Linked DNA regions of Lepisosteus oculatus. The protein of the gene in region 4 binds, or shares a complex with, the protein of the main gene of each other region. Links are inferred from orthologs where the notes say so. Each region holds a gene or a part of one and is shown on either strand. Other genes may lie near its edges.

What was found.
Region 1: tfdp2 (region 4) and e2f4 share a complex: the UniProt entries of both Homo sapiens proteins name them as parts of the DRTF1/E2F transcription factor complex. The link is inferred for Lepisosteus oculatus from reciprocal best matches to the Homo sapiens genes TFDP2 and E2F4.
Region 2: tfdp2 (region 4) and lin9 share a complex: the UniProt entries of both Homo sapiens proteins name them as parts of the DREAM complex. The link is inferred for Lepisosteus oculatus from reciprocal best matches to the Homo sapiens genes TFDP2 and LIN9.
Region 3: tfdp2 (region 4) and e2f2 share a complex: the UniProt entries of both Homo sapiens proteins name them as parts of the DRTF1/E2F transcription factor complex. The link is inferred for Lepisosteus oculatus from reciprocal best matches to the Homo sapiens genes TFDP2 and E2F2.

What each region holds. Positions count from the first base shown.
Region 1 is NC_090715.1:4,496,225-4,503,886, forward strand, and holds the start of e2f4 (transcription factor E2F4), read left to right. Parts: upstream 1-4,538; 5' UTR 4,539-4,661; intron 4,662-5,097; 5' UTR 5,098-5,445; coding exon 5,446-5,565; intron 5,566-7,662. UniProt on the Homo sapiens protein: Transcription activator that binds DNA cooperatively with DP proteins through the E2 recognition site, 5'-TTTC[CG]CGC-3' found in the promoter region of a number of genes whose products are involved in cell cycle regulation or in DNA replication.
Region 2 is NC_090697.1:55,789,181-55,796,430, forward strand, and holds the start of lin9 (protein lin-9 homolog), read right to left. Parts: upstream 3,126-7,250; 5' UTR 3,038-3,125; coding exon 2,959-3,037; intron 1-2,958. UniProt on the Homo sapiens protein: Acts as a tumor suppressor. Inhibits DNA synthesis. Its ability to inhibit oncogenic transformation is mediated through its association with RB1. Plays a role in the expression of genes required for the G1/S transition.
Region 3 is NC_090706.1:10,810,904-10,819,028, forward strand, and holds the start of e2f2 (transcription factor E2F2), read left to right. Parts: upstream 1-5,067; 5' UTR 5,068-5,651; coding exon 5,652-5,915; intron 5,916-8,125. UniProt on the Homo sapiens protein: Transcription activator that binds DNA cooperatively with DP proteins through the E2 recognition site, 5'-TTTC[CG]CGC-3' found in the promoter region of a number of genes whose products are involved in cell cycle regulation or in DNA replication.
Region 4 is NC_090708.1:15,800,939-15,808,099, reverse strand, and holds the start of tfdp2 (transcription factor Dp-2), read right to left. Parts: upstream 3,051-7,161; 5' UTR 2,387-3,050; intron 1-2,386. UniProt on the Homo sapiens protein: Can stimulate E2F-dependent transcription.

The DNA.
Region 1 (7,662 bases), on a different chromosome or scaffold from region 4:
CAAGATCCCAGCAGGAGTGGAGAGAGGCCCACAGCTCCTCTGACCTTCGACCCCTGACCTCAGCACTGGCGGCGGGTGGCCGGAGCTGCACGTCAGGAGGTCCTGATGCCACTCAGAGGCAACCTCGCTGGAGCTGTGTGAGCTGGCGGCAGACGTCCATTCGAGTGCTCTGAAAAACAAAGGCCTGACAAAAAGATAATAAGAGTGGAGAAAATAATATTAGTGCCACTAACAGTTCAGAATGAAGCTGCAGGCACTGGCTGACCTGATAAACCACAGAAAGCAGGCAAGGGCGGCTTATCAGGTTCACCAGCGACATGAAATGGGATGACTCTTAAGAGCTTTGCTTAACAGCTTTGCTAAATTTGAATGAAATGTTCAGGGGTTCTTGATTGCTCTAAAAGTCGGGAACATTGCACACACCAGGAGAGCCCCTCGTCAGACCTTTAGGGGAAAATAAGATCTTCAGTCCCACATCAAAGGAACAGGAACCTTTGATGTATGGGTACCTTTTCGGAGGATCATGCATTATTCTTTTTGAAGGAGCACATTGAACAATAACGCCTATGTTTAAAGAGCAATGCGTTAAGCTCAGTTGCTTGAGGAAGAGCAGGTTTGCTTCTTAAAACTCCTTTTGTAGTTTCTCTGAGTTACTTGTGGGTTGTGGGAGTGTGGAACAAGCTGCCGGGCCATGTTGTTCATCCCCTGGCTGCTTTCCAGAAACAGCTGGATGAGATCCTCCAATCAGGACAAGGAGGCATGCCTTTACACAAAGCATGGTAGGGGTCTGGAACAACCCCACCCAGCCGATACCCTGTTTTTTTTCCCAGAAACAGCAGGATGAGGTCCTGGGATCATTTAACTACTAACTACTGTGCAGGCTACATGGGCAGAATGTACTTCTCTCTTTTCTAACCTTCTCTTTTTTAAGTTCTTTTTCTCAGAGAGGCATGCAGAGCAGGTCAGGTTTCCTGTACCCACCCCTCTCAGGCCAGAGCTATTGTATAGTTGCCAGGTGGAGTTTCAGTGCTGGAATAATTTGGCTCGCCGATAGTCCTGTACTTCAAGAAAAAGCAGCATGCAAACACAAAGGAGCAGACAAAAAGTTGAATATTCGATGCAACTGTGAGAGCTAGCAAGTTCTGAGATTTGACATTACTTTTCTGGGGTGTACAAGCAGATTTTTGAGTCTGCCTTATGTCTTTGTGTGTGCTTGTTTCTTGAGGTGTGTTTGACCTGTCAGACAAATTGCATCAAAGTTATTGATTGCAGCATTGATTGATTGACACGCTGATCAAGCAAATCCCTACAACAGTGCAAAAGGTGTAACAGCAAAAATACAAAAAAATTCACTCAAGGCAAACAAACACTTAAAATTGTAGACATTATATAGGGATATGCCCATTACCGTATGTATTGTAAACCAGACTGAATATCCCTTTAAATTAAAATTGCTTATTGTTATTGGAAACAAAAGGTGAAGAAAAAGCCTTTGAATTTCCTCTATTACCTTGAGCAAATAAGCCAATGTAGGTGAAATGTTATCTACAAAGGGCTAAGCCATCAGACAGGGCCCCCTAATCAGAGAAGAGGTGGTAAAAGATAATGATCCAGTTCTGTATTAATTATTCACTTGGCTCTGGCCCTGCATACACTTTTATTCTTCAGGTCTGTGGAACAATCTCCTTATCAGAGTCAGGGGAAAAGCCTGTTTTCCCTGCAGGAACTGGGGCACTCCAAGACATTAACTTATTATGCATAGTGCTGAGCTGCATGTCTCATCAAGCAAGACATATTTTTGTTTATGCTGCAGTCATTAGCTCAATTAAAAATGATAATGTAGGCTTGATCAAAGGAGCTGCCCTGTGTCAATCCACCGTGCAGGTGTGTTACCGACACATCTACAGTGATCTTATCCTGATTGGCCCCCCTCCGCAGTTAAGAAAAAGGGGCAGAGCAGTGGCCCTGCGGCTCAGGATCTGTGCCTGTGGCTGGAAGGTTGCCAGTTCAAATCCTGTGGCCAGCGGAGGAATCCTACTCCGTTGGGCCCCTGAGCAAGGCCCTTAACCCCAACTGCTCCAGGGGTGCTGTAATATGGCTGACCCTGCGCTCTGACCCAAGCTTCTCTCCCCGTCTGTGTGTCTCATGGAGAGCAAACTGGAGTGTGTGAAAAGACAAATTCCTAATGCAAGAAATTGTATGTGGCTAATAAAGTGATCTTATCTCTTATCTTAAAAACCAAGCTGAAGCACAGCCACCTTGCACAGCTTGCTTTTAAAAACAGCCTTCCCATGGCTGTGTGTTGTAGTAGGCTGTTTGATGCAACACTGGTTACCCACATGATGATGACTTTGTACAGTAAATGGAGAACTATGTGTTTCAGTTAGAGCAGCTGTAGCGATTATTTACGAGGCATGAGAACAAACTGGAGTCAAAAATGCAAAAACACAAAACAACACAATACATTCATTTTGAGATAGTGTATTGTAAAATTGGGGGACTGTTTTTAGTTTAGAATGCAATGACAAACGGCAGAAAGGCCCAGAATGGGAAGCAGGGATATTTCTTGCTGTGCAGCAGATAGCGCATCTCTGACTCTTCTCTTGTGACACTGCAGGCAGTGGGAACGTGAGCTGTCCTCTCCAGCCAGCCATCTCTGCCTGTGTTGCTCGGTTGATGTGTCCAGGCTGTGCGAGGCTGTACTCTTTAGCTGTGGTGCCCCTTGATCTCTTGTGTTTGGCCACTCTGAGGCAAGCAATGTGATTGGCTGCTGCCCTCAGTGGGCTGAGGGAGAGGGGTGTGTGTTCTCCATTCAGTCTGAGATGGGCTTCTTTATCTCTTCCCTGGGGGGAAAGGCACAGCAGGGAACAGGAGGGGGAGGGAAAGGGGAGCTGGGATTGTTAACAAGGACGGGATAATCCAGCTCCTTAGCCGTGAGATCCAGGCAGGGCCTTCCTTTCCCTTGGGAAATTGTATTTCCTTTGTTTCTGATGATCATGGAATTGGGAGGATCTGATCAGGTGGTGTTTAGGAATGACTGTAAAACTGTGGAATGTTGACTGAACAGTCAAACTGTCTGTATCACATAATAATACAGCAACTAGTAGCGTTCTGATAACGAATGTATCACGTGACATGGGAGCTGGTTACGTCCTTTACTGCTGCTTGGAGAGTGGGGTGGCAGGGCGGCTGTGTCACCTTCTGCTTTGATAGGTGGGGCTCCGGGTTTCAGGGTATTTTCAAAAGTTGAGGGTTCGGACTCTCCAGATCAGGAAGAGGGTATCGTTCGGCAGGACATGATTTCCTGTCTCCACGCTGCGTGAAATATGTGATTTGAGTCCTGCAATGTGGATAATAAATATATGCATAATGCTGTCACGTGACATATTAGAATAATACTAATGACTTATAAGCTGTTATGTCCTGGCTCTTGCATAACTGAAAATGACTCATAGTGACTCATTACTGGCATGGGGTTGAACACTGTGACTGTAACGGAGTTTGAGAAAACTAATGCATTCTCGTGGTAGTGTGAAATCGAATCTTAACGTATCTTATGGGACACTTCCTTCATCATAAGAATATTTTTATTGTCCCAGATAGGAAATATGCTTTGCAGGCAGGTAAAAGACATAACACAACACACAATACGTTTAGCAGAACATAAACGCATTAGCAAACAAGGGACAAACATGTAGGATGAGAAAGACAAAAAAATAAATGTACGTGCAATGTAAAATATACAATCAATTGTGCAGACTTTTGAAGAGGCCCAGTCTGTACCCGGCCGTGGTTGATACTTCGTGGTGAAATGGTTGCAAAAACAATTGCAGGGGATAATACAGTGCATGTGGTAGCTCAGCCAGCAAGGGCATCTAGCTCCTGACCAGGTCCCGGGTTCCATCCCAGGAAGGGTCAAGAGATGGAGCTTGCTCCAATTCCTTCCAGACAGCTCCCAGGTCCACTCAGCCTGCTTTCCAAGTGAGTACCGGGGGTTAATCCTTCTGGGGGTAACAGGCTGGCTGGAGCGTGATGCTGACCACATCACCTCCACCTCCAGTGTCGGATGGTTGAGAAGAATGGTGACCCTTGCCCCCCCATTCCCCCATGGGCCTTTATCGGCTGAAAAGGGACCTACCTACTATGGTGCATGGACTGTACACATCTCGGTAAACATTAACTCTTTACAAAACGAAAAAGCAGAGTAAATGCGAACAGAGTAAAAGAAAAAATGAAGCTTTATGTAAAAAAAACAACAACCTAAAGCTACCAAAATTCAAACGCACAGGTCTTGATTTCACTAGATTGCTGTATTGCACACAATACAGGAAAATGCTGATGTTCAGTAGTGACATCCTCCAACTCTGAGTATCTAGTTACTACTTCCTGTCCTATTCCAAGGTTTATCAGTAATACACACTGGAAAACGCAATTTTCGACCAGGGTCATGGCCATATAGTCACAACCGAGTAGGAATGGAGCGATAAAAGGCTTTGAACAAGTAATTTGACGACACTCCCTATCGGCCAGTCCCAATCCATTGGCTCAGCGGAGCGAGGTGAACGCAGCTTGCGACCCTGTCAAAGACCGACTTCTGACGGAACAGGAAGTTTGATTTAAAGAGCACAATGCCGGATTTTTGTTGGAAGGCTGCTTTGGAGGTGGGATTTTTTAAATTAATATGATAAAGTATAAATAAGCTCTTTTATTCGCGCTGCGCAGCGGCTCCCAGCTTCAGTAACTGCTGGTGAGCAAATTGTTGCGAGATGTATCAGTCCTGCGTGGGTGTAGGATCACAGGAGTCCCCTTCGCGGCGAGTGACAATGATCAGACATTCACATAGGGAATAAAGTCATGCCTCTCAACACGAAACTGATGGATTTACTGCTTTCTGTAAATGCATTAGGGTTCTTAATGAGAGCGACAGAGACAGCACCGCCGGCCATGTGCTCAGAATTGTATTTAAATATTTGACTGTAGACTTTCCGAAATATGAAATCGATCGTGTTATCGTACTTATTTCGTGGCTATTCTAATTATTGTGGATCGAAATGAACTATGTCCTCGGATTTCTCTCTTTTGTTTTTTAATGTTTAGAAACTGCCCTTTGCAGACGGCCCCTGCCGTTCAAATCGATCCCAGCATGCCCCGCGCCGCTAACGGCTCCATACCATAGACCTCATTGCCGGGTGGCCGCAGGCCGAGAGGGGTTCGGGCAACAGGGAGCCGAGCCGGATCGGATCGGACCGGACATTCCAGAGCGGGACACCGAGCCCAACTCCGGGATCGCGGTGCGACACGGGCGGCGGCGGGGACGGTCCGAGGAGGTGGAGAGCGAATTGCGTGGTGGTTGTGGTGGTGGCTGCGGCGATCGGGCGGCGGGGGGGGGCTGGACCAGAACCGAGCTGAACCCTTCTGGATCTAATCCGAACTGACCCGGGCGCCATGGCCGAGCCAGTACAGCCCCAGACCCCGAGCCGACACGAGAAGAGCCTGGGCTTGCTCACGACCAAGTTCGTTACTTTGTTGCAGGAGGCCAAGGATGGAGTTCTGGATCTGAAAGTTGTAAGTGTGCGCCGCTGCTCGCTCATGAATTACAAACATCTCCGCTTTACCGCCGCTCTTGGGTGCTCTCTGGTCTCGCCGGAGCAACACCTGTGGCATGCCCCGCGTGTACGAGGCCACGCGTGGGCGGGCGAACCAAGCCCCGAGAAAAGGAGGCATTTAAACGGGGGACGTGGAGGGGCTGTCCGTGGGGGACCGGAGGGGAGGTTGTGGCTGATCGCAGTGAAACAGTACTCGGGGTCTGTTTCTGTACGTCCGAATAATTCAGGACCTTAGACGAGCTTTTCTGTCACCGAGAAGCACCGCGGCGACTTTGACAAAGATTCCCTCGTGGTGATGCAGCAAAAACAAACCCAGGATTTTTTTTGGGGGGGTCGGGGTATGTTTCTGTGTTGTGGGAAGACGTGAAGTCGTCCGCCTGATTGATTAGTGATCGTATCATTTGCCCCTTTATAGAAAGAAACACCTCTGAAACCATAATTAGAAATACCCCCTTTTCATTGCAATAGATACATTTTTTTAAAAAAAAAATGGTTGTTGCACCGATAGCCACGCAAGTCTGTGAACTGCGTGGGGATTTCCACAAGATACAGGTTTCGTTTTCAAGGCTGTCCGAGAATGAATACTCTGTTTCAGGTTAGAAAGCGTTTTTATTCCCCCTTCTCTCATTTTGTGGGGTGTTCTTACTGACACCGGGCGCAGAAGATCCCCGAAGTCATGTTTAACCGCGACAGCCTACCGGGAGCTTTCTTATTTGAGTGTGGCCAGCAGAGGGTTATGTAATTATTACAGTTTCACGTTTCAGTGCATCATGATCTGCACGTTTGTGTTTCTTTCTCTATTCCACTGTTCAACGAAGAAATAGCTTAATGTATCCTGCAGTTCCAGAGCTCTTTGAATCGGAAACAAATACTCACTGAAACGGGGCATAGCCGAAAGTCCTCGCTGCATTTTGAAAATTGTGCCGATTTGATGGGCTGATTGATCATTGCTGTCAATATCAGCTTGATCGAATCATTTGCGTTTACTTTAGATTTGCCCCCTTTTTTTTCATTTTGGTCCCTTTCAGGCTCTTTCAGTGAGGAGACACGATGGCACATTTAAAGCAGTGTGCCAGAGAGCTCCTTCTGTTACTCCTCCTGACCTTCTCAGCCATGGGTCTCTTGACTGTTACAGTTGAGTAATGATTAACTATTTGCTCAACTGCGCAGTGGCTGCCCGCTTGTAAGAGATTTCCTTTCTGACAGTGTTGCTGTGCAGTGATGCAGCTGTTTTTTCAGATGTGTGAGCTGTGCAGCAGGATGATAAGGTGCCCTGAAGTCAGTTTTGCACTTGGTTCGATTAAGAATGGTGCTTAAAATGCAAGTGCAAACGAAACCTTTCCTGTCCACTCGCATGCATTGCACCTGGGTTCATATTTATGGGAAGAACTGGTTTGCACGGATGTGCATTCAGTGTCTGATTTTCCTTTCGGCTGCGTTGTGCGTTTCATTCTGCAGTTTGTGCAGCACAGAAGCGACGGAGGGTTTTGTGGCCTCAGTTGTTGTGTGAACTGCCTTTATGTAATTTGTCGTGTGGCTTTGAAAGATCACAACTTTGCACGAAGTCAGGTTGACGTAGGAGGCTTTGTGTCGTCCTGGGAATGAGAATATTAAAACCGGACACATTTTGGAGGCATAAAATGGCATAGTGGTTCGGGTTATGAAGTCAGTCTGAGATAAAAAGGCTATAAGATGCTCTATATGCATTGCAAAGCTCAGTCAGCGTCCAGGTAAAGGAATGATCATGGTTGTATGGTTTGTGTTAAAAGACACTGCATGCCTATTGCAGTGACACTGGAATGCAGTGACCCCCAGCAGTGTGTTTGTCTGTGGAAGTATGCTCCCTGTGTGTGTGAACTCTTGAGCAAGTGGTCATTATTGGAGTTGATGGTGTGTTGTAAACTGCATTACTTGTGGGCCAGGGACTGATTTTATCTGGACTGTTTGTTTTTTTTGGGGACTGGACATGTCTCTTTTTTAGAACCTTGTGGTTAATTCCTCTTCACCGCTTTCCACTTAGTCTGCCGAGGGAAGTAGGTCCAATTTTGTGTACGCT
Region 2 (7,250 bases), on a different chromosome or scaffold from region 4:
TCAGTCCCCACCACCACCTTTCCCCTGTGTCTCCCTGTCTTTATCTTATACTTTTGATACTCTTAATCATTTACCCAGAACTTCAGAAAATCAAAAAAACTATTTTTCAGTGTCTCTCGCTCCCAGCACAACTAAGTAAATATTCCTTGGTTTGAAGCTATAAGAACTGGAAATGTTGACTATCTAGGCATTACCCATTGTCTATAGATTCTTTGAGACACTTTCATAGTCACCTACAATAGTCTAAACCGGTGCGGTGGCACTGTGGGTAAGGATCTGCGCCTGTGGCTGGAAGGTTGCCGGTTCAAATCCCACAGAGGAATCCTACTCTGTTGGGCCCCCGAGTAAGGCCCTTAGCCCCAGCTGCTCCAGGGGGGCTGTATAAATAGCTGACCCTGCACTCTGACCCCAAGCTACTCTCCCTGTCTGTGTCTCATGGAGAGCAAGCTGGGGTATGGGAAAAGATGAATTCCTAATGCAAGAAATTGTATAGGGCTAATAAAGTGATCTTATCTTAAAACAACATGGGTATGATGCATGCAGTAGAAAAAAAAAATTATCCATCTTAAACCAATTCATCACAATCTGAGATGAACTAAATCCACATTCGAGCAGCTAAGCAGAAAGGATGGCATAGCTTGAGATGCTGTCAGGAAGGTGAAACATAAGAGTATAACAATTTGGTTACTACAGTTTATGTAATAAGTATATCATCTGTAATAACCCAATAATATGCCACTGTGGTTCAAAATTCTACTTCAGGAGATTCCTGTGACAGAGAAGTGATGCGTGTTCACAGGTAGCCCAAATATATTTTTGGTCATATTATTGATAAAGTGGGGTCATATATATTTTTACCCTTTCTACGTTTGTGAGATATAGCTAAATAACTACTACGTCTTCTGCCAGAATCCACAATCGCGTCTTATCTGTTCCAAATGACTCTGTTGACTTATTATTCAACAATCCACCATAAGAAAATTTGTCATCATAAGTAATTTAATTTTCATCTGAAAAAGCATCTATAAAGGACAGTGAGTATCAGCAGGAGAACTTAAGGAGATCTAGCCTACATTTTAGAAATGGATACATATGTAATTGAAAAATCAGCTCTATAAAACAAACTAACTGCACTTACTTTCAAAACCAGAAGTCAAACTATGTATAATCTGTCACTCCAAGAAAGGCCATATGATGAAAACACAAAATGTGTGCAATTATTAGCAAGTTCAGCCAAGAAAAACAAGAACATGTGGCATTTTGCCACTCCATATTCAGGGAGATTCTTTGACTGGACATTGAAGATGCTGTAAATAACATAGTAGGAGGGCAACATGAAGGAACATGATCTCCTTGATAACAGTATAAAGTATTCTTCAAATTAATAAAATCATTTTTAATTTTCTTTATCATTAGAATGTTAAATTCATGTTCTGTTAAATACATGAGCAATGCTAGAATAGACACACAAGATTTTAGAAACCTTAGAAATGAGAAAATCAAAGAAATTCTTAAGCTGAGAAGAGACTACATAAAGTGTTGTATGCTAAAGCTGTTACACAGTACTTGGGTATTTTTTAAACCAAGGCCTAGGTTCCTAAAAAAGTAAGCCTACCAACAATATGCATCACTGATTAAGGTCAAATTTCAGAACCAGGACTGAGAACCACTGAAATACCCATTCCAAGGTTCTTCATTATGGTATAAAAGCTACAGTTTCTTGCCTAACAGATGCATGTTGGAAACCTTTAAATCTATCCAAGTCCTTCTTCCGCAATTGTTTGCATGAAGGTCAGTCCATTACCAGAGCACTTGTTTAATATTTGTCACAAATAAAACATGGAAATCAATGAATATCAAAAGATTTCTTTTTTTTTTAAATCTACACTTTTGATGATAATTTCAATTCCACATTTCCAATTGTGAAAATTTCATAGATATCTCCATTCATCCATTTTCTAACCAATTTACCCAATAAACCCAATTGCACAGAAGCAGGAGCATAGCTTGGCAAGCAACAGGCACAAGGTGGGATTCACTCTGAATGGGACATCAGTCAATCACAGGACATACAGACACAGAGACACACATTCACACCAGGGCCAATTGTCCCACAAGTCATAGAGATCTTTAAGTTTTCCAATTTGCCAGTCCATTGCTTACAGAACTGTCTTTCAACAAGAAGAGTATAGTTTGTCCATATTGTAATAACACTATGTTCTGCAGTACAACTAAATTGTATTCATATAGCTAAGATACAATTAAGTTTATGAAATGCAATGAGAATGTTACCAAAACAATATCAATGGAAAACCATCCATCTCATTTAAAATACGAACAAGCTCCAATAACGTTTTCTGCAGATTTTTAAATTTAATTCACTGTACAGCAGGCATTCGATATGCACTGCTATCCAGTTAACACTCCTGTCATGAGCTGTTTGAGCACACAGGTAAACAATGTGTTTACAGTACAAAAAATGATAGACATTTCACGGTACTTTTTTACACAAGAGAATTTCGCATCGCTCAATAAAAAAGTTGTTAAAATGAACACGTCAGTGTAAAGAAACGCAGAGCTTTATTATTCTCCGTAGGCTCCAGCTAAATTGTTGTTGTGGATTTAGAAAGGGGAAGACCTGCATACCTTTTCGTTGATGATACACAAATATATCAAATTCTCCTTTGTGTGTACCTAAAGAATGACTGTCAAAAAGGTTGCACAATGCTCACCTCTGTGTTTTTGTATTGATATTAGCTACTTCATTAAAAGCAGCTGATCATGGCACAAACAAGAAATATTCGCGTCAGAAACAATTCCGTTAAGCAGTCCAAATTCATTTCGGGCGTGTTTTTCAGAAACACTTGAGCAGTGTCCGTTCAGTATTACTCTTGGAAATACTGTTTCCGAACATTTTTATCAGTTTTTAAACCGCTTGTCAGTTTTGTTGTTACTCACTCTCGTCCAGCAGCTGCTCCAGCTCCGCCATCTTGAATGAGCCGCGCCGCTTTTTCAAAGGCTGCCGGTCGGAATGCATTGTGGGACAGAGACTGCCGGAGAGGGCAGTTCGAATGCGGGATGGATGTTTAGTGCGCTTGTTATTCGAGTATTTTTGTAATTTAAAGTTGAATTTATCATTTGGCTTGTTCTTTAATTCGTGATTCTAGAGAGTATAACATTTTACAGTACAACCTTAGCATTGCACACCTATGACGGAAGAAGAAGAATGTTCTGTGTACTACTCTTATCTGCACTCTAGCTACTTGATGATTTCCTGAAGTGAAACTTCTGGTTTATAACAGAGACTAGGGTTGTGACATAACCAGGCCTCCCTGAGACAGAACAAGTTTGTAATGTTGCCTTTAAACTAAAATATATTAACGTTATTAGGTGTCTGCTCATACCTAATAACTCAAAGATGATTATTGTTGATAAAAGTTGTTGAATGTTATTTTTCATGACATATATTAATTTTGGTATTTCTCCATTAATAGTAGGAAATCTAATATGAGCACATTCTTCCCTAAATAAAAATAACAATTATTTCTTCTGCTAGCAAATACTGGAAACAGCTCATCTGACCAGGGGAGTTTCGGCAAATCAGAATGATATTTTAGCAAACACAAAAATATAGGCAAGTGTAAAAGACAAAATATCTTGTATATCTCCAAACCTGAAAAGGTTTATTTTACATACTGTGCTCATCACAAAGTGTTTACAGTAGACAGAAAAGTAGGCATATGCAAGGCAGATATGCATATACACAAGAATGGTTTAATGCCTATGATTTACATTTGTAATAGCATATTCATTATATATATGACATGTACTTGAAATATTTATTTTGGTCTTTTCAGAAGTTGTTTTTTTAAATCCCTGGGCCTGAAGAGGGTGCTATAAGACATTTAATAAAGCCATTATTTGCTTCTCATAAATCATTGGACTAGTCAAATTCAGATTATGTTAAATACAGAGTAAAAGTTTTGATGACAGAGTAACCATACAGGATTTTTAATTAGATTTAAATTACTAAAATGCAAGAGGGGCAACAGCTGCAATAAAAAACAATGCTGGTTGGTACGCTTCACTTTTTTCAAATCAAATACCTCCCTCAGAGATTAGCTCCTCCCCTGGAGAGTGGGCTTCCTCCAGTGTCCTTCTGTTGCCTGGTGTTGGTGGGTTCTTGATTATTTCCAACACTCCTCTGGCAACTTCAGCTCGAGCCTCTTGCTTACCTCTGCTGGCTCCACTAACCTGTGTAGATGACATGGTTAGGGATGGACACCAGAACAAAGCAGTTCAAGCTGATGATCAGCTTCTCCTTTGCCCTTAAAGGCTCTCTGACTTCAGGTGCTTGATGTAAGGAATCTAAAACACAGTCTTGCCTATCTATTTTTTCAATTATCTCTGCTCTGTTAAAAGAAAGGGGCATGGAATCTCCAATTAAAATGGATTAGTGAGCAAATAAAACTGTCAAAATACATTCGTGTTTAGACTTTTATAATGCCAGTGAGAAAAAGTTACTCAGACTATTTCTGTCTACCTAACAGAAAGAATACAATAGAGAAATCCTTCTGTAATACAGATAACAGGGGCGATGGCATCAGAACAAGGGCTAGATTTTTACCTCTGAGGTTTATTATATGTTTGCTCATTTTTAAGCTTATTAACAATCCCTTTACAGTGTGTTCTTTCCAAGGCATTCCCTATTTAAAATTTAATAATAAAAGAAATCAGGCAAAATAGGAAGTTATTAACTTATTGTGGGATTTAGCACGATTTTTGTAAGATGTTCTTTATTTCATGCCTTGGGGTGTAGAAGAACTGTCTGTAGTGTTAATGAGTAATGCTGCTATCTACTGTATACAACCTAAAGCCTTTTTAAGGCCATAATGTTAACCACACTGTTAATACAGCTAATTAGGACCATACCCAAGGCAAGACTCTCATGAGTATGAAAGCACTTTGGAACTGACAGAGATTCTGTAGAAGGAGGTCACTGTAATCAGCCACGACAGGACTTGTACTGTGCGTGATATTCTCCAGTACCAATGTTTATTAAGGAAAAACAAACAAATCCAAAACAAATGAACTTCAGGATCATTCCCATGCCATTAGTCAATGTGCAATTTATTAACACCAAGTTTACTCCCACAAGTTGCCTTTAGACAGTAATGATGTCTCCAGATGTCTTCTTAAACAGATTATTTCAGAGGAAACTACAATGGAACGGAATAATTACCACAGGGAACATCAACGGACCTGGTGAGGATGCATATTTGCAGTATTCTCAAGACATAATACAGCAAAATGGCAAACTAATTCTTGAATATTGTAATAACAACCATACAAAGAATAGTTCTGGACTGGCAGAGCTAAAAAATGTTATGATAGAATTTAAGATTTGGAGTGTTTAGTGTATCTCATTATTAAACTGAAAACTAACCTCCATAGGTAAATTGACATGGCCTGCGCAGAAATTCTGAAGTGAATTGGGTTTATAAGCTAGACATATAACATCCTCTGGGAGTCTGTTACAGCAATTTGAACTATAAAAATAGGGTCTCACAAGAATTTGCACTAGAATACATGGAAAAATAAATGTCATAAACACAATGAAAATAAAACAAAGGTCACATAAGGAAAAGGAAGATAGACAAAAGACAAGAAATAATTTCAATACTACCAGATTTATGGAAACATGATGACCATGTATTATGAAGGAAAGATTACCTGACCTGAACTCAGAGTAAAAACCTCTATCCACTACAACGTAAAAATCAATTTTTGAAGGCAATTTGGTGTGCTAATCAGTGGAAAGAAGCCATCAAGGACTCAATGTGTAACTCGCCAGTTCTCAGGTAGTTTAAAGGTTTGATTTAATCTTGTCTATTTTGCCTGTGTTTGTATTTAGACTTTTTAGAAATAAATTGTCCGATTAAACCTGAGTATGACTCTAATACAATACTATTAGTCCTAGAGCTTTCTGATGGTACTGTTGCAGAGAATCTTTCCGAGATTATCCCAGATGAACTATAGTCACCCTTCAGCCCAGACACCAGCCTTTACAAAAGGTCAAAGGTTGAGACTTAAAATACTACAGAAGCCGATGGAAAGTCAGTTGTTTAAACACATTTTGCCAATGTGTGAAGATGTGTTAAACTAAAGTTCTTTTAGCAGATGGGAACAGTGAGTTACTGTCCTTGTAATCCCTGTCACCTACAGTTCAGGTATTAATGTACAAGAATATTGAATGAATAGATAGTGTGTCTGTGCAACAGTTATGTAACTGTTCAGAAAGCAGCAAATCCCAAAGAAAGGTGTTTTATTCTTAATCGGTCTAGACAGCCAAACAGCCTCCTCTCATTTCTAACCTGTCTTATGTTCTTAATTAATAGGCTTATAGATGAATTATTCTGCATATCACTGTTTAATTCATAAAGTATAAAAAAGGAGTTATATTTCATTGTGTAGAATGACAAATGCTTCCTCTGAGAGCTGGTTTGGGTTAAATTGCATTCTTTACTGCACCACATACAGTTCAATATCAAATGCCTTTTCCACATGCTTCATTTTCGCTGAAAACTCTGGCAAAAATACTATTTTTATGGCATTACAGCTTGTGTTGGCAATAAGATCCCTGCCTTTGCATTTTATAATAACTAGCAGAACACTCATATGTGTTAAACTTTATACTGTTTACTTGTGTTTAAAATTAGGCATCTGCTATAAATCGGTATTCTAGCAGTAACCCAAATGCACATTTGGCATTGTATATTTGGGACACTGCTATCTGCTGGAGTAGAGGGCATGGAATTCCTTTTCAGAGTAAACTGTAACAAATGGAATCCTACTCGGAAGGTAGTGAGTAGAGACCAAGGACGGATTTTAACTTACATTAATAAACCCAGATAAACAAATTTATAATAATAAATAAATAATTATTATTTTTATTATATTTAATAATTCCTAATCAGTATAATTCCTTACACTGATATAGCACTTTTCTGGACACAACGCTTTACAGGTAATGGGAACTCCCCTCCACCACCACCACCAATGTGCAGCATCCACCTGGATGATGCATCAGCAGCCATAGTGTGCCAGAACGCTCACCACACACAAGCTATCAGCAGGGGAGTAGAACAGAGTGAAGCAACCAATTCGAAGATGGGGATTATTAGGAGGTCATAATAATGGGGGGAAATCTGGCCCAGGACACAGGAGTTTACACCCCTACTCTTTTCAAG
Region 3 (8,125 bases), on a different chromosome or scaffold from region 4:
CCTTAATCCCAGATATTGCTTTTTAACCTCCATTGATCCGAGTTGTTTGTACTGGATATCCCGCAGAGCTTCGAGATCAAATGCGCAGTTACTCGGTGTTTGCTTTTATTCATTTGCCGTCGTTTCGTCGTCAACACCCCCTTTGTTCCTGTCCTTTCTCCTCGAGAGCCCTGGTTTCTGACTTTTGCACCAAGACAGCACCCTGCTCCGCCTGCCGGAGAGAGATCCCGTTTGGTATCACAAGTTGCCTTCGGTTTCGTGGGATCCCGGTGTCAGCCGACGCTTTCTGCTCGTGTGTTATGACACTCGGGCTCCGTTTCGTACTCTCGTGAACGACTTAACGGCTCCGGTGTTTGCTTTTATTCATTTGCCGTCGTTTCGTCGTTAACACCCCCTGTTTTCCTGTCCCGGGAGCTTCTGGACACAGAGGAGCAGGGAGATGTTTGTTTTGTTTGTTGTTTTTTTTTTTCACGGCGAGGCCGGAGCGCACCTGTGTAACTCATCTTGGGGCTTGTAACTCGCTCGCAGGTGCGGACTGGCGCCGGGCAGTCTGCCTCAGATCGCTCCCGCCTTGCAGTTAAAAAAAAACCCAGAAACAAAAAAAAAATCTATTTTTTGGTCCCAGTGCTGTACGCACACTAACCTCTTTTCCCCACTGGTGAGCTAAAGACCCACGTGCATCGTTTCTGCCCTACATTAGAGGTCACAAGCGTCCTGGAAAGACAGGAGTGATGGCTCCTGCTATAAACCCCCGTTTATGTCCTTTGAACTCCGTCGCTTCAATTTCAGATTAAGATTACACGAGTAGTTTTAACTTGTTACTTTGATCGTACGGGTAGGCCTTTAGTGACATCACTGTCTTCTCTAATCCTCTTGAGTTTTTAAGTGCTCATTACAAATAATAATAATGTATTCATTTCTTTGATCGCGGCGATCCACTCTCAGTAATTCTCGAAACGAAACGCCTAATAGCTTGGTTAAATGATGTTTGATTGATCTAAATTTGCTAGTTCGTGTATTGTAAATACCCTCATACTGTCGAAGTACAGTGCGTTTTGTATTTTTTTTCCACGGGCCTAAGCGCCACCCAGTGAAAGAGACCCTGTGTCCTGTTATTAATCCCAATGCCCAGTCAGCCAGACTTCCTCATTGTGACAAGTTTTACTCTTCTTATTCTATACAAGTCTCCTTTGTAGTTTTGATTCATGTCTACTGTTGTTACCTTCAGCTTCGGTGGTCGTACTAAGTTGGGGTGTTTATATCTGAATCAATGTAAATATAACTCCTGCCAGGACGGTGGATTTGTCTTGCATGACTGGAGCGCCACCTAGCGGCCCAGGGCGGTAGCACAGATCGAATCTTGTGTCCCAGTTGTCCTGTAGGTGTAGCCTACGATAGGTATTGCATCTTTTTTATATATATTTTTACGGAGGTCATACACATATGAGTTAACTGATTGACATCTTCAGGGAGATGTTTAATTAACGGCACTATTTATGAAGGTCAGAAGACAAGTTTCTAAAGGTGTCCTCCTAATGGAGGAGAATTATACTGTATATGATCAAGTACAGGAGAGTCCGCAGCATGGTGCAGTGGTTGCTGCCTTTTAGTGCTGGGGCCCTGGGTTCGATTCCTGGGGTGCGATCTGCATAGGGTATGTATTTTCATCCTGTGTTTGCGTGGGATTCCACAGGGTGCTCCAGTTCCTTCCCAGAGAGCTAAATCATACTGGTACTGTAGATTAATTGGCCTTAGCGAAAATTGGCCCTGGTGTGAGTGTGTGTGTATCTGACCTGTGATGGACTGGTGTGTCCAGGGTTTCTCCTGCACCCATTGCTTGCTGGGATAGGCTCCGGCTCCCCCACCACCCTGTATTACATTAATCAGTTTGAAAATTGAAAGACAACCATTCTGAAGCTCAGCAGGTGTGAGCCTGCTCGGTACCTGGATGGGAGACCTTCTGGGAAAAGCTAAGGTTGCTGCTGGAAGATGTGTTAGTGGGACCAGCAGGGGGCGCTCCCCCTGCAGTCTGTGTGGGTCTTCATGCCCCAGTATAGTGACGGGGACACTATACTGTTAAAACCGAGGTCCCGACTCTCTGTGGTCACTAAAAATCCCAGAGCGATTCTCGAAAAGAGTAGATGTGTAACCCCGGCATCCTGGCCAAAGTTCCCATTGACCTTTACCAATCATGGCCTCCTAATAATTCACATCTATGAACTGGCTTCATCACTCTGTTCTCCTCCCCACTGAGAGCTGGTGTGTGGTGAGTGTACTGGTGCACTTTGGCTGCCGTCATATCATCCAGATTGGGCTGCACATGGTTGGTGGTGGAGGGGAGTCCTCATTACCTGTAAAGCGCTTTGAGTGGAGTGTCCAGAAAAGCGCTGTATAAGTGTAAGCAATTATTCTGTATTCATATATAGTACATGTATTAATGTATTCATTATAAGATCCACTCACACCACTCCACATCACTCCCCTGTGGAGGCAGCATCACTTTCTGCTTGACCGAGCAAGTTAGGAGCTTCCACTCAGAAACCCTGTCGCTGTGGTCTCCCCACTGATGTGCAGTTGTCTGGCCCCAAGCGTCTTCCAGGTACGCACAGTTTAGATGTGTGCATTTATATGTCGGAAAGAGCATAACTGACAGGAGGCCATATGACACACCATATTCACATTCATTCATTTCTGTTCAATTCGTCTCCATACTAACATGGAGAAAACCCCCCTCCATGAAGGAAATTGCCTTTAACCCTCCAAAAAAAAGGGACGATTTAGAGTGGCCAGCCATGCCTAAGACGTGAAAGAGTGACCAGAGAAACCCCACATGAACATGGGGATGAACTTGCAAAGTTAGCAAGTTCCAAGGCTGGAATCGAACCCAAGAGCCCAGGTCTGTGAGGCACAAAATCACAACATGGCCATGCACTGGGAGTGGGGATGGGGTCGTTTTCTGGGCCTTCCCTTTTGCTGTTACTACTGCACGAGGGACAAACACAGACCTGCTATAAGCACTTGAAGACTTCAGGCTGGAATTTGTTTAGTGCTTATTGTGTACAGAAGATGCCAGAGAGCAATGGGAGTAAAGAAGATCACCAAGGATCTGGGGACCCACATCGAAGTTAAGAAGGTGTGCTCATATGACCCATAGGAGAGTGAGAAGCTTTTCTTTACACAAAGAGTGGCTGGGGTCTGAAATAAGCAGCACCTCCATGCTATATAGCCCTATTATATTATATAGCCTCTTGGAGATCCTCTAAGAACTGACCAGAAACAATTCTCAGATCCAAGTTAACTGTCACAAAAAGAGCTGGATCTCTTTTATGTTTTTAATCCATTTGGTGAGTAAGTTGAGAGCTCCAGTCCTGCATGATTCTCGCGCAGCTTGGTACAGTCTGAAAGATGAAAAGATAAAGGCCAATAGGAAAGTCCTGTTTCAGGTAAGTATAAAGCATTAGATCTATATTATTTACTCAATGGGCTCCCTAACACTCTTCTCAGTGAGTTGCAATATGTTCAAAACTCTAGACAGCTAGACTACTAACTCACACCAGATGCTAGCATCTTATTACTCCTCCACAAGTCTCTACACTGGTTGCCTATAGAATCATGTATTCAAGATAAGATCTTATTACTGTTCAAGGCTCCAACATACTTCTCTGAGCTCCTGCATGTCTACACTCCCTCCTCTAGCCCCATTCAGCTGAGACTGGTCCTCCGCTCACAGTACCCAGGACTAGATCTCGGACTCTCGGGGACTGTGCTTTTTCTATCACTGCCATTATGTTTTGGAGAGCCCTTCCTCAAGACTCTCTTCAAATCCAAAATCAAAACTAACTTTTTTCACCACAGCCTTTATTTGATTGACCTTTATTAATTGCTTACACTTACACTTATATAGCACTTTTCTGGACACTCCACTCAAAGCACTTTACAGGTAATGGGGACTCCCCTCCACCACCACCAATGTGCAGCATCCACCATATTCTATCTATATGATACCATGTGTTCTTATTTTTTTAAAGTTTTTATTGTACTTTTTGGGTCTTTTTCTGTGTACGAACAACTTTGAAAGGTATTATTTATAAAATGCCTTCTAATGACGCTGTTCATCATTAATAAGAAGACGAAAAAGTACAATACAAAGTAAATCAAGAATAAAAATAATAATACAGGTGTTTACAAATGTAGGCAAGCAGACGCAGATCTTGGTAAAAAGGTCAGTTTTAAGTTGAGATTTGAAGAGAGTTAAAGAAGTTGTCTCATAGAGTCTGAGGAAGGTCATCCCACAACGCTGGAGTAGCGACAGAACCAACAGTCGCCAAAAGTCCGTGATTTAGTGGGCACAGTGAGGAGAGGACATTATTATTAATACTAATATTATTATTAAGACTTAAACGTTCAGTTGCTGCAAAATGTATACTCTACACACAGCAATATATAAGTAAATATATAAATAAATACGTGTACATCATGTATATAAAGAGCTGGTCACACTCAGTTGCTTGGCTAAGCGTTCAGAAAGCCAGGTAGCAGAAAAGGTTGGGGCGCAGGACAAGCGAGCTCAGCCTGAAATTCACTTTAAAGAAAAACAAATCCGAAGCGTTCAGTTTTTCGTGTCAACCCCCGGATGTACGATTCCCCTGAGGCTTGAAGAATATTTACATTACAGTCCTCCTGGTGGTATTCAGGCTGAACTACGTTGGTAAATAATCGGATTTTTTTTTTTATGGGAGGCAGCTCCCACAAGCTGCTTCTTAACAAAGTTCTACTGAATACGATGCAATCCTGCGCATTTCTTCAGGTCCCCAAATGTCTGATTCGAGTTGCTGCCTGTAAGCAATTTAAATGCAGCAGGTAAATAAAGAGTTCAAGCTTAGTCCAGAATATCGGCCTCTGTCTCTTTAAAGACAGGGACCCTCCCCTCGCGCTCCAACAGTTCTATGCAAATAACCAACAAACGGGCAGCATTGTGACCAATCAGAGCCGAGCTCCAGCCGCGGGAGATCCAAATTTCGCGGGACGCACTTTGGCGCTAAAACTGCAGGTCTGATCAGCTGGGGAGTTGAAGCTGTTGTAACTTTGAAATAGCAGGAATTCAGCAGGACTGTTCATGCACTCCGATGAAAATCCGAAGCATCCTGTACAAAATACACTTGTATTAGGGATTCTGATCCAGGATTGTGAATCTGCAGACTTTGCTGAATCTGGATATGCCTATATTGGAAGGGATAGGCGGTATTTTTTGGATTTTTGACACTATTAGAGTTGGAAGTCCACTTTCATTCTCTTGCTTTTCGATGCAGTAACCAGATCTAGGTCTACGAAGCAATTTTGTTTTAGATTAGTTTAAAAATACTGAAATCTTAAAAGAGGTGGCGTTTACTACAGATAGATTATTTAAGACTTTATTACTTGTGTGTATTCTGCGTATTTTTAGCATTTTAACCTATTGTTTATCGACAATCGGCAAGAGCAGCAGTCAGCTGCATTGTTTTTAATATTTAATCGTTTTTATGAATGCACATTTCTGCTAAAGCTTCTGGAAGCCGGTCGTTCACACAAAAAGGATATACCGCATTATTATTTTTTTCCCCCGATTGAGTGGCAGACTTGAGTGGGGAATTTTTAGCAGAGCAGAATAAAAGATGATGCGGTTACCCAGAGGGGTCTCTCCGGCTTCCGGTAAGGGAGCAGTTGGCTTTTCGGGGTCGACGAGGAAGGTGTTAGCCGGGGCAAGAACCGAATTATTCGGTACTGAACTGTCGAGTCCTCCGATCAACTCTTTATCGTCCGGCTACCTCAGCCAGATCTGCAACACCGCTTCTGGGGATCAGAGGGCGAGCTGTCTGTACTCGACCCCCCACGGGCCTGAAGCGAAGCCCATCAGAGCTACCTCCGGGAGGCTACCGGTAAGTCCGCAATGATTTAATGCGCTCCATCTTAACCTTTTATTTTGAATAAAGTGCCCTTTCTTACACCTTGCGGTCTAGGATGGTACCCCCGTAGCTGTAAGGCGTGTCGTTTTGTATGCAACTTTAATGTTGCGTCTCAATCGAAACGTCGAGTCAATATGAGAATTTCAGATTGACTTTACTGATCGCTTTAACTGGGCTGGATGCGTAAATTTTGCGAGCACAAGTTTAGAGCTCAATCCGTGTCGCGTTATTAAATGTGAGTGTATGTGCGGGGGGTGGGGGGGAGCGATGGTTTAATTTTTCGGCCCAAAAAATTGCGAGATTTGTTTAATTGTGCAGTGCTCGAGTCTGCGGCGCCCAGAAGTCGTTCAAGTGGCGAAGGGCTCTAAACGGTGACTCGCTTTGGAAGCGAACGCAAAGTCAGTGGGGCCGCCTTCTGAAGCGGCAGTAAAAAGATGGAAGAGGAGGTCTGGGCTTTTCCCGCGGGCGGCGTGGAAGGAGGCTGCGGCTCCCCTTTGATAGAGGCCGTGGTCTCGCATCCCAGCTGTTACAGCCTGAGAGAGGGGGTCAGTGGAGGACCAGAGACACGCCTGAAGAGGGGGGGGGGTACCATAAGAATAGCCCGAGACAGAGGCACAAGACCGGGAGATGTGCGTCATTAAAACGGAAATGAAACCTCTCCAATGGTTCCCAAATAATACAGCAGAGCGTGATGAAATATGAATAAAACGAGACAGTTGAATCGTGTGCGCTATCCGCTAATTTTGACCAACTTGCTCCATTCATTCTGCACAGCTGTTGGTGTCCTTTTCCGGTGGTTTGCCACTCTGTGTGACACCTGCTGTACTCCTAGTGCGTTCACATCCACACAACCTGCCGCTGTCACTTCAGGGTGGAGAGTGCAGAGGTCAGGGGTCAAGCCCTGTTTGCGGCTGCAGTGGGCAGGAGGGCTTCGGGGGTAGGTCTGCGCAGGTGTAGTTCGGATGAATTCAGCTGTTCGCAAGGAAAAGCCAGTTTAAGGCGGAGTTCGTGCGAAGGTGTTTCTACTCCAAACAAAAAAAAAAAACCAACAGTTTAAAAGCCTCTGGGGTAACTGGATCGAAGTGTGATGAGCAGTTTTTTTTGCTTCTCCTTTATGAATGAATTGCTTGAGTAGAAGTGCTGAGACTGTATATAGCCTCAGATGGACGTAGATGATGTTTAGAAAAAGCAATTGGAACTTGCGCAGTTCAGGGTGCCTCCCTGCCCCTTCACTTCAAATTTTCAAGAACTACAAAAATATGGTCTTCAGCTTTTTGTGGTGCACATCAGATTTCCTGGGTGCACCACGTCAGTTGAAGTGATGTTTGCAGCGTAACCTGGTGGTGCCACATTATGAAAATAGCACTTGATTTGACTTTCTTGGGTGCTCATGTCTGCCCTATCAACTAACAGTTGATTTGCATGAGAGAATGTAGGAGTGTGTCACTCAAACCTGCTCTGTATTTTTTCTGGTATAGGGTAAGCCTGAAGGGGAGAGGGCAATTATTTTTAACCTTTGATTGGATTGAAGCACAGGGAAGTAATTGCATCTGTCCCAGCCGGATTTACATTGAACTACACAGGTGTGCAGTATTCTGGTCCTCAATTGCTCAAACTCACAGCAATATGTGATGCTTTGTTCCTATTACAGGTCGTCTTTTTAAGTTGTTGTGTTGAGAGGAAAGCACTGCATCTTGACCTCTTCACAGACTATTCTGAAATTTCTGTGTTTTTTGTCAGCTGTGAGATGGTGCATTTGTTAGTACAGCTACTGCCAAAATTAGTAGTTTGCAGGAACATGGATTATTACTATTCTCAAACAGGAAAGTCACTGAAAAATAAAGGTCTGCGTTGTGCTACTAGAAAAATCGTGATGTAAAGGTATAAAAGTGTAAGTGCTTTGATTAGGATCTCAATACAGTGAACAACACAACTGCATAGTAATTAAGTTTCTTTAAGGGGCAGCAGTGGGCAGGGGTCTGGGCCAGTAACTGGAGGATTGGGAGTTCAGATCCCAGGTTTGTATGCAGAGTGGGGAACACTCCCTTATTATTCTGGGGCAGTGCAGAGTGGTGGCTAAAGCACTGTACTCCTAAAAGCTATTGATGTTTGGAGGTGGGCTACCCCGATTTGTGCAGCTCTCTGGGCTGTACATGTGGTATTGCTGCTGTTTGGGGTTCAGC
Region 4 (7,161 bases):
TGGGTTCCAGTTCTTGGGCCTACACCAGCCAAGAGTGAACTATCAGAAGTACCACAGTGTGCTACCTACCAAGAAGTGACACACTGCTTGAAGCAAAAGGGACAGTCTAAAAACACTGACTCAATTATACATAGAAAGGAAAACGGAGATAATTAGTTCTCCTTAAACAGGGAAAATATTGTTTTATTTCAGCCAGTGTGATCACTGCTGTTTTCACAACGAGCAAAGCTAGCTCACTGAACTGTAGAGAAATGCTGAAATGGCCGTCCAATTGCTTTTCCACAGGTAAGGATCTCAGACTATGCACAAAGGTTTTACCACAGATCCCTCAGAACGGCGATCCTTTACGTCATCCACTCTCGTACTTAAGAGGCATGTGCCGTGTGTGATAGAGGCAATCAGAACATGGAGAGAACCACTCTGAAAACAATTCAACACTCTGATAACAACTCTGGTCTTTTACAGTTCGAAGTGTATGACTGCAGCAGCTGATGCTGAACTTTCATATTCCCAACCCCACCATTATTTGCTGAAATGCAGGATAGCAAATATCTTAAGACACCTGTCACACACACCACCCCTTCACCCCAGGAGGGTCTCAGTTTTCACAGCCTTGCCACTAAGAGATTATTACTTTAAGCCGTTTGTACAAGCACAACAGATGTCCACCACAAGTATGACAGCTTGTTGTTCTGTACTATGCAAAAACACCAACGAAGCAGCTCTAACAGTCCTGCCTCAACAAATGTAGGTTTAGATTCACACTTTTCTTCCTGCCAGACATGACATTGTTTGCCATATGCTGTACAAGTACAATCCGTACCTTACAAGGATCTTTGTCCTGAAAAAGTTCTGGTCTCATAAGGCTGTACTAAATGAAGTGTGGGAACTAAGAAAGGATTTTGAATGTGTGCGGTTACTTCTTTATCTCACTCTGAGGGACTTCACTGCCTGCACATCTCTGTGAGAAAGCAAGTCTGCGTAAGGCCACTTCTCCAATCTACCATATAATAAAACACTGACGCAACATGAGCTCCTACACTGTATCTCCTTTTAGGACGTTTAATGCAGCCTGAAAGCACCGGAAGAGATCCAATCTTAGCTGCAGGGTGGACATTAAAAAAGGCTTTCATTAAATACATTCAAATTACAGAAACTCTAAAGGATGAGGCAGTCTTCTAAATGAAGTAAAAAATTCAGAACAAAAAAAAAAAAGGAAGATGATCTCTATGGCAGAAATAATTCCTTTTTCAGTAAGTGATTCAACCTTAGAGGGTTGTGGTGAGCCAGAGCCTAACCCCATCAGAGCAAGGCTTTAGGTGGGGCTACATCCTGGATGGGACAACAGTTCATCGCAGAGTGCACACATTCACACAGGGAAGCCATTAGAGACGCCTGCTAAGCTAGACAGCTTGAGGGAGGAAACCGGAGGTTCTGGTGAAAAAAAAGGACACAGAGAAAGCATGCAAACTCCACACAGAAGGTCCAACAGGCTAGATCTGAACCCAGGGCCAAGACCTAAGATTCACTGACACTGACATCACAGTGCTGCCCCCTGCCATCCATAGTACTCACGTCTTTTTAGTGTATGTTTTTAATAAAGAGCGGAAAATGTAAAAGATACCTGTGATTACGGGGTAGAATATTTGGGTTTAACGCTTTTGTGAATAATCTTTTTGTAATCTTTAGGTATCAGGCTGGACGAGTTTGGGGTTGCCCACTTTAGATCACGAGTTAATGGAATTGGAAGATGAAAAAGGGACGGCTAATCAGTCCGTTTAAAAATGACAGCAGTTCTGAAACATGAAGGGAGAAATCAAATTCAGCAGAACACACTAAGTCAGAAGCATGTGAGCAGATGTACAACACTGCCAGGAACTGGACGCCTATTCAAAAGGAGGCTCTCTGGCATGAGTGATGTTGATCCCAAAGAGGAATTTGTAGACGATGGCTGGAATAACTTACTCGGAAATCATACAGGGCCGGTACACCGCGCATGCAAAGCAGGATGTTAACCATTTTCTGCATTTTCACTCTTGCAAAAATAGCCCAATTCGTCTTGTACAGAATTGGCATTTGATGTTTCCTTTACTGCTCGCGAATTAGTTTGCATCACAAAACTGTACCAAGTTGGACGTAATATATTAATATAATATAGCATTTGCAACATAAAATAAATACTGCACACGGCAGTCCAATTATGTACATTTTTGTCAATGAAAGCTTGCACATCAGACAATTTAATTACAAACATCTTAGCGTTACTGTAGTATAAACATATTAAACCCTACACCGTCGCATTATTTGATATTTGTCAAATCCAGAAAGAAATACTAACAGTTAAAGACGGCAACGATTTTAAAAAGCATAAGTCAAATATACTTACCATTTTGTTTTTTGTAGAAGAATTCACAGTCAAGGGCAAACTTTAGTTTCGTTTTCAGTATGTGCGATTTCTTAACCGCATTCATCGGTCGACTAAAATTCTTATAAACTAAATAAGCTAAAAATGTGCACAAAGTGATGTCTACGATTCGACACTCAAAGCGAGCTTTAGACCTTAGAATACGAGCTTTAAATTCTACGAAGAGATAAACTCGCTTTCAAATCAAGTGATATACAGTACTGTAGGTCGCTAGACTGTAAAGTTGCAATTTTGGAAAGACTAAAGTCTAAAGTGCAGAAAATAGACTTCAATAAAAAATCTCGAGCACAACTTGATTTTTGCAGCTTCCGACATCCAAGCAATTTCCAGTGAATCGATGCGCTGTATTATCCTACCCTGCGGGCTGTGTCTTTCGGGAGTTTTTTGTTCGCTTATTGTAACGATCAGCTCAGCCTTTTTTAAAAGAAATACACCGCAGCTTGAAACTACCGAAGGGCGCCAGGCTGGTTGCTATCCTGACGCTAGGCGTCTTGCGGGTGTTGCGCGAAATTGCCCCCCGCACAGTTTTGAAAGTGGGGGTGAACGTCAATGGTCTTTGCCCGAGTTGCACTAACAGAAGGGAAACAAGCTGCAAAGCAACTGTCGTCCGCTTCCTGTCAGAACAGACTCCGCACACAAGCTTGGCGGCGGCTGCAGCTGTTCGCTCTGATTGGACACGCATGTCTGTGATGCTCGACACCAGATGAAAGCAGATTGGACAACCCCCCCCTCCTTACCGGAGCTGTCATCTGGCTTTTTACAAAGAAGACAGGCCGATATGTAAACAGTACGGATCTAAGAAACCCATCATTTTGATATATTTCTTGTTAATGAATTAGAGATTCATATTTCAGGATGTCTTTTATATCATTTTAAGAAACCTAAACTTTAGGGGACACCTCAAAGTACTTTATGAGACTTCTGGAAATATCCTTGCAAATATGTGAACGGTAATTTACTCTCCGATCCCTTACAGTTCAGATTTGTATCCCTGTAAATCATTGAAAGAGATATCAAAATAGTTTGTTTCCATTTTGCACCAACAAACAGCGAGTCGTTCCAACTTATCTCTAAATGATTAGTCATCTCTGCATATGCTGGTATCTTAAAAAAACGAAAACAAAGGAAATGTGTCTGCGATACCTCAAATTATAATAATGATAATTAATGATTTGTCTTGACTTAATAAAGGGGTGTCCGTTTTTGTTCACTGTAACCCTTCACGTAAGAGACATGGGGAAAGAACATCTTTATCTCGTGCGCAGGACAGATCGTGCAAGCAAGAAAAGTAGTGGGGATGACATTACGTAAATCTCTACTGCACGACCATCAGGATTGTGCTTTTACTTCATCTACATCGTTGAGAATGGTTTGGCCACGAGGTATATCTTCTTCGCACGACATTATTATCTCACAGTCACGACTTAAGAAGTCGTGCGTCAGAGAAAAAAAACAATATTCCCGCTTTTCGCCTCCTAGGCTCCATAAAATAATAACAGTTCATCTAATTAAATGAGAAGGAAGCCTTCCCAGTATTCCGTGTCTTAACAGCAGAGACTTCTCTGTTGCAGGGTTTCTCCAACCAAGAGACTGGACTAAATGTGTCTTAACCTGGAACTCCTGCTTATAAATGTTTTCAAATCCAGAGTAAGGTCATGTAGAGGGATTTTGTAGACTTCCGTTTGATTAGATTTTTACATTGAGAGACCTCATCAGGAAAAACGTCTTGTTCATCGGTTATGCCGCCAGAAAAATGTGGAAATCCCACCTTGTTGTACCCTACACAAACCAGCACCTTCAGAAAAACTGTTGTATAAAGGCCCACCCACACACTTTTACAATTTTACAAAGGTATAACCTCCAGAAATAAAGCCACTGGGTAGCAATAAAGCCAATTTGGGAATTTCAACATTCAAGTTCTTGGATCTTATGTGGCCTACTGCAGTTATTTCCTCTCCAAGACAGACAATCCACCCTTTTACTCCCCATTCCCTCCAAGTTTGGATGAAGAGCACAATTCAATTCCATACCTGCTGTACCAGTGAACATGATGACATGGTGTTGTTAAGGGACACCAGGGACAATTTGGGAATATTTATCTACAAGTGCCATTTTCAATGGCTTTGGTATGGTGAAATAACACACACAATAAATCTGTGAATTGTGCAAGTTAAAGTAGTTCTGTTCATTATACGATTGAAATTGAAGTAAACACCTTAGTTTTCTTTGATGATGATCTAGGAAAGCTAAAATCACCTTTTAATATACTGCAGACTTGAAAGGGACTCATCACCTATTCTAGAAAGGATGCTTAAAGATGTTGCAGCATCCTTCATTTATAATGTGAGTAAAAATAATTTTCAAAGCAAACAGCTTAAATTAAGCTCAACAACCAGTTTCAAAATCTTTAAAATTGCATTTTGTCCCTGCCAGGACATTCCTGCTTCAAAAGGTTGGGTGATACATAGTGTATTCAACTAACTTTTACAGTTATGATGCAAAGATGAAACCAACAACAGAATCATATTAGCTCTAATGCAAAGACAGTACACACGGATAGTTTCTGTTGAGGTACAGCTATTCTGTGCTTTGGTGATGGTGTTGATTTTAAAGTGTCTGTGCATAACACTTCACCATCACCGCCTGTTAGTTAAACAGAGAAGGGTGTGCATGTGTGTGTAGGTATGAGGGTAGGGTGGGGCACATTCCATTTTCATGCCAGTTCATGTAAGTGGTATGCAGTGGTGTATACCAGGGTTTGACTTTCCACCATATAAAAGTGAGGTCTGGTACCTATCTAGTTTATTTCACCACTATTCTGTTAGTAATGGCTGATTTCTTAAGCCAACCAGTAGACGTGCTGGGATCGCGGCCTATCGGGCCTGGCACAGAGTCCGACTAATCTAAGTCATAAATCTTAATGCCAAGTTCGATACTCTGTAAATTATGCATCCCTTTTCAGTAACACTTTAGATTAGGAGTTCTATTTCTAAATATTTTATAATTGAAACATAATAACAACATTAACAGTCAGCAAACTTTGATCATTTCCAAACTTTAGTTTAGATTAATTACATTTGTAAAAAAAACTACTTCTGATTACACCCCTAGGATTAGAGGTGTGTAATTTAAGAACTCTTTATAAAATCATTAAACACATGTTAATAGACCTTTAGTACAGAGAGTTAAACTTAAGTGAGACCCTTTAGAAAGTATCACTTATAACTCCTAAACCAAACAAATAATTGACCAGTTAATTTATCCATCCATCTATTTTCTAACTGGTTATTCCAATTCAGGGTTGTGGGGTGAGCCAGAGCCTATCACTGCAAACAGCACGTGCAAGGCCAGGTCACCCTAGATGGGATCTGGTTAACGACTCCATCGCAGGTTACTGAAGCTTCCTTTAACCATTTATATACTGTATGAGAACAAACTGACTTTAGTCCATAAATGTACAATTTGTCAGTAAAGGTGAATTCCTAACAGCTTATTAATACTCTGTTAATGCTCTCTTGATATAGTAAAGATGATGAAAATGTATAATACATGAAATTTGCAACTTCTTATCTGAATTTCACTCGTCAGTACTGTTTTTTCCCCTCTGCAAAAACCATGGACAAACTGTTCACTCCAAAGTTAATGAGTAAGACAGGTCACATGCCAAAGGTTCGCCCACGAGGAAAATCAGACACTTTGTTATAAATCCTAAAACAGGGCAAAATAATTATTAACACAACCTGAAAGACACCGTTTGTACAATCTAATTAACAAACTGTGCTATGTGATATGAACAAGAATACTGGAGTAAACCTCCATGCCTCAATGTAGTCAAAACAGAACACAATCTTATACAGAGGTCATTTATAATTACTTTAAATATACAGTATATTAATGGTTTTAATGCATAAAGTTTTGATGATGTCATATTTTAGCAGCTGTAGGAAACAAAAACAATTTGAAATACGTTTCTACAGTGTTGTAATCAGGTAGCAACCCCTCTCCCCCAAATTAAATGACATTAACCTTGCTATACAAGATTGTCATTTCTATAAAAACTGAAGCCTCCAGAAATTTGGGATCATAAAGTAATAGTCATGGCAAATACAAATCTTGGTGTTAGTGATAAAACAGCAAAATGCAGTACAGAGGTAGTACTATAAAAGTGCAGTTTAAAAATGCATGATTTGGAATTAAAAAACATTCCATTTCAAAATTAAACATGTAAATACTCCAGTTAAAAATATACTATTTTTAAAAAGGAGTACATTTTCACAGTTTAATTATACCCAGTGTTTGTGTTCAATTAGATCCTGTAAACATTGAATTTATTATTTAACAAATTCTAGGAAATGGATGGTTATACATATTGGCACATAAGCCTGAGCTTGAAATAAAATGCATCTATAAACTGCTCTATAACAGACAATACCTTTGGTGAGACAAAGAGCAAAGACAACTACTACTATAGCGAAGGAAGAAGAAAAAGCAGCCCATGAAATAATATCTCCTCTGTGTGTGGCACCTGCCCCTCTTTCACAAGCAAAGCAGTATTTCAGCCTGTTACAACCTGTTGGACAAGTTCAGGAAGCTGCCGTTTGAAAGTTATGCATATTTCCCTCCTCAAAACAATAAACAAAGCAGTTTGGTTTAGATACTATGCATCTAATGCATCCAGCTCTGTAAACCTCAGAAATACAAAAAGGCACACTTCCAGATTAAGGACCAAGAAAGAC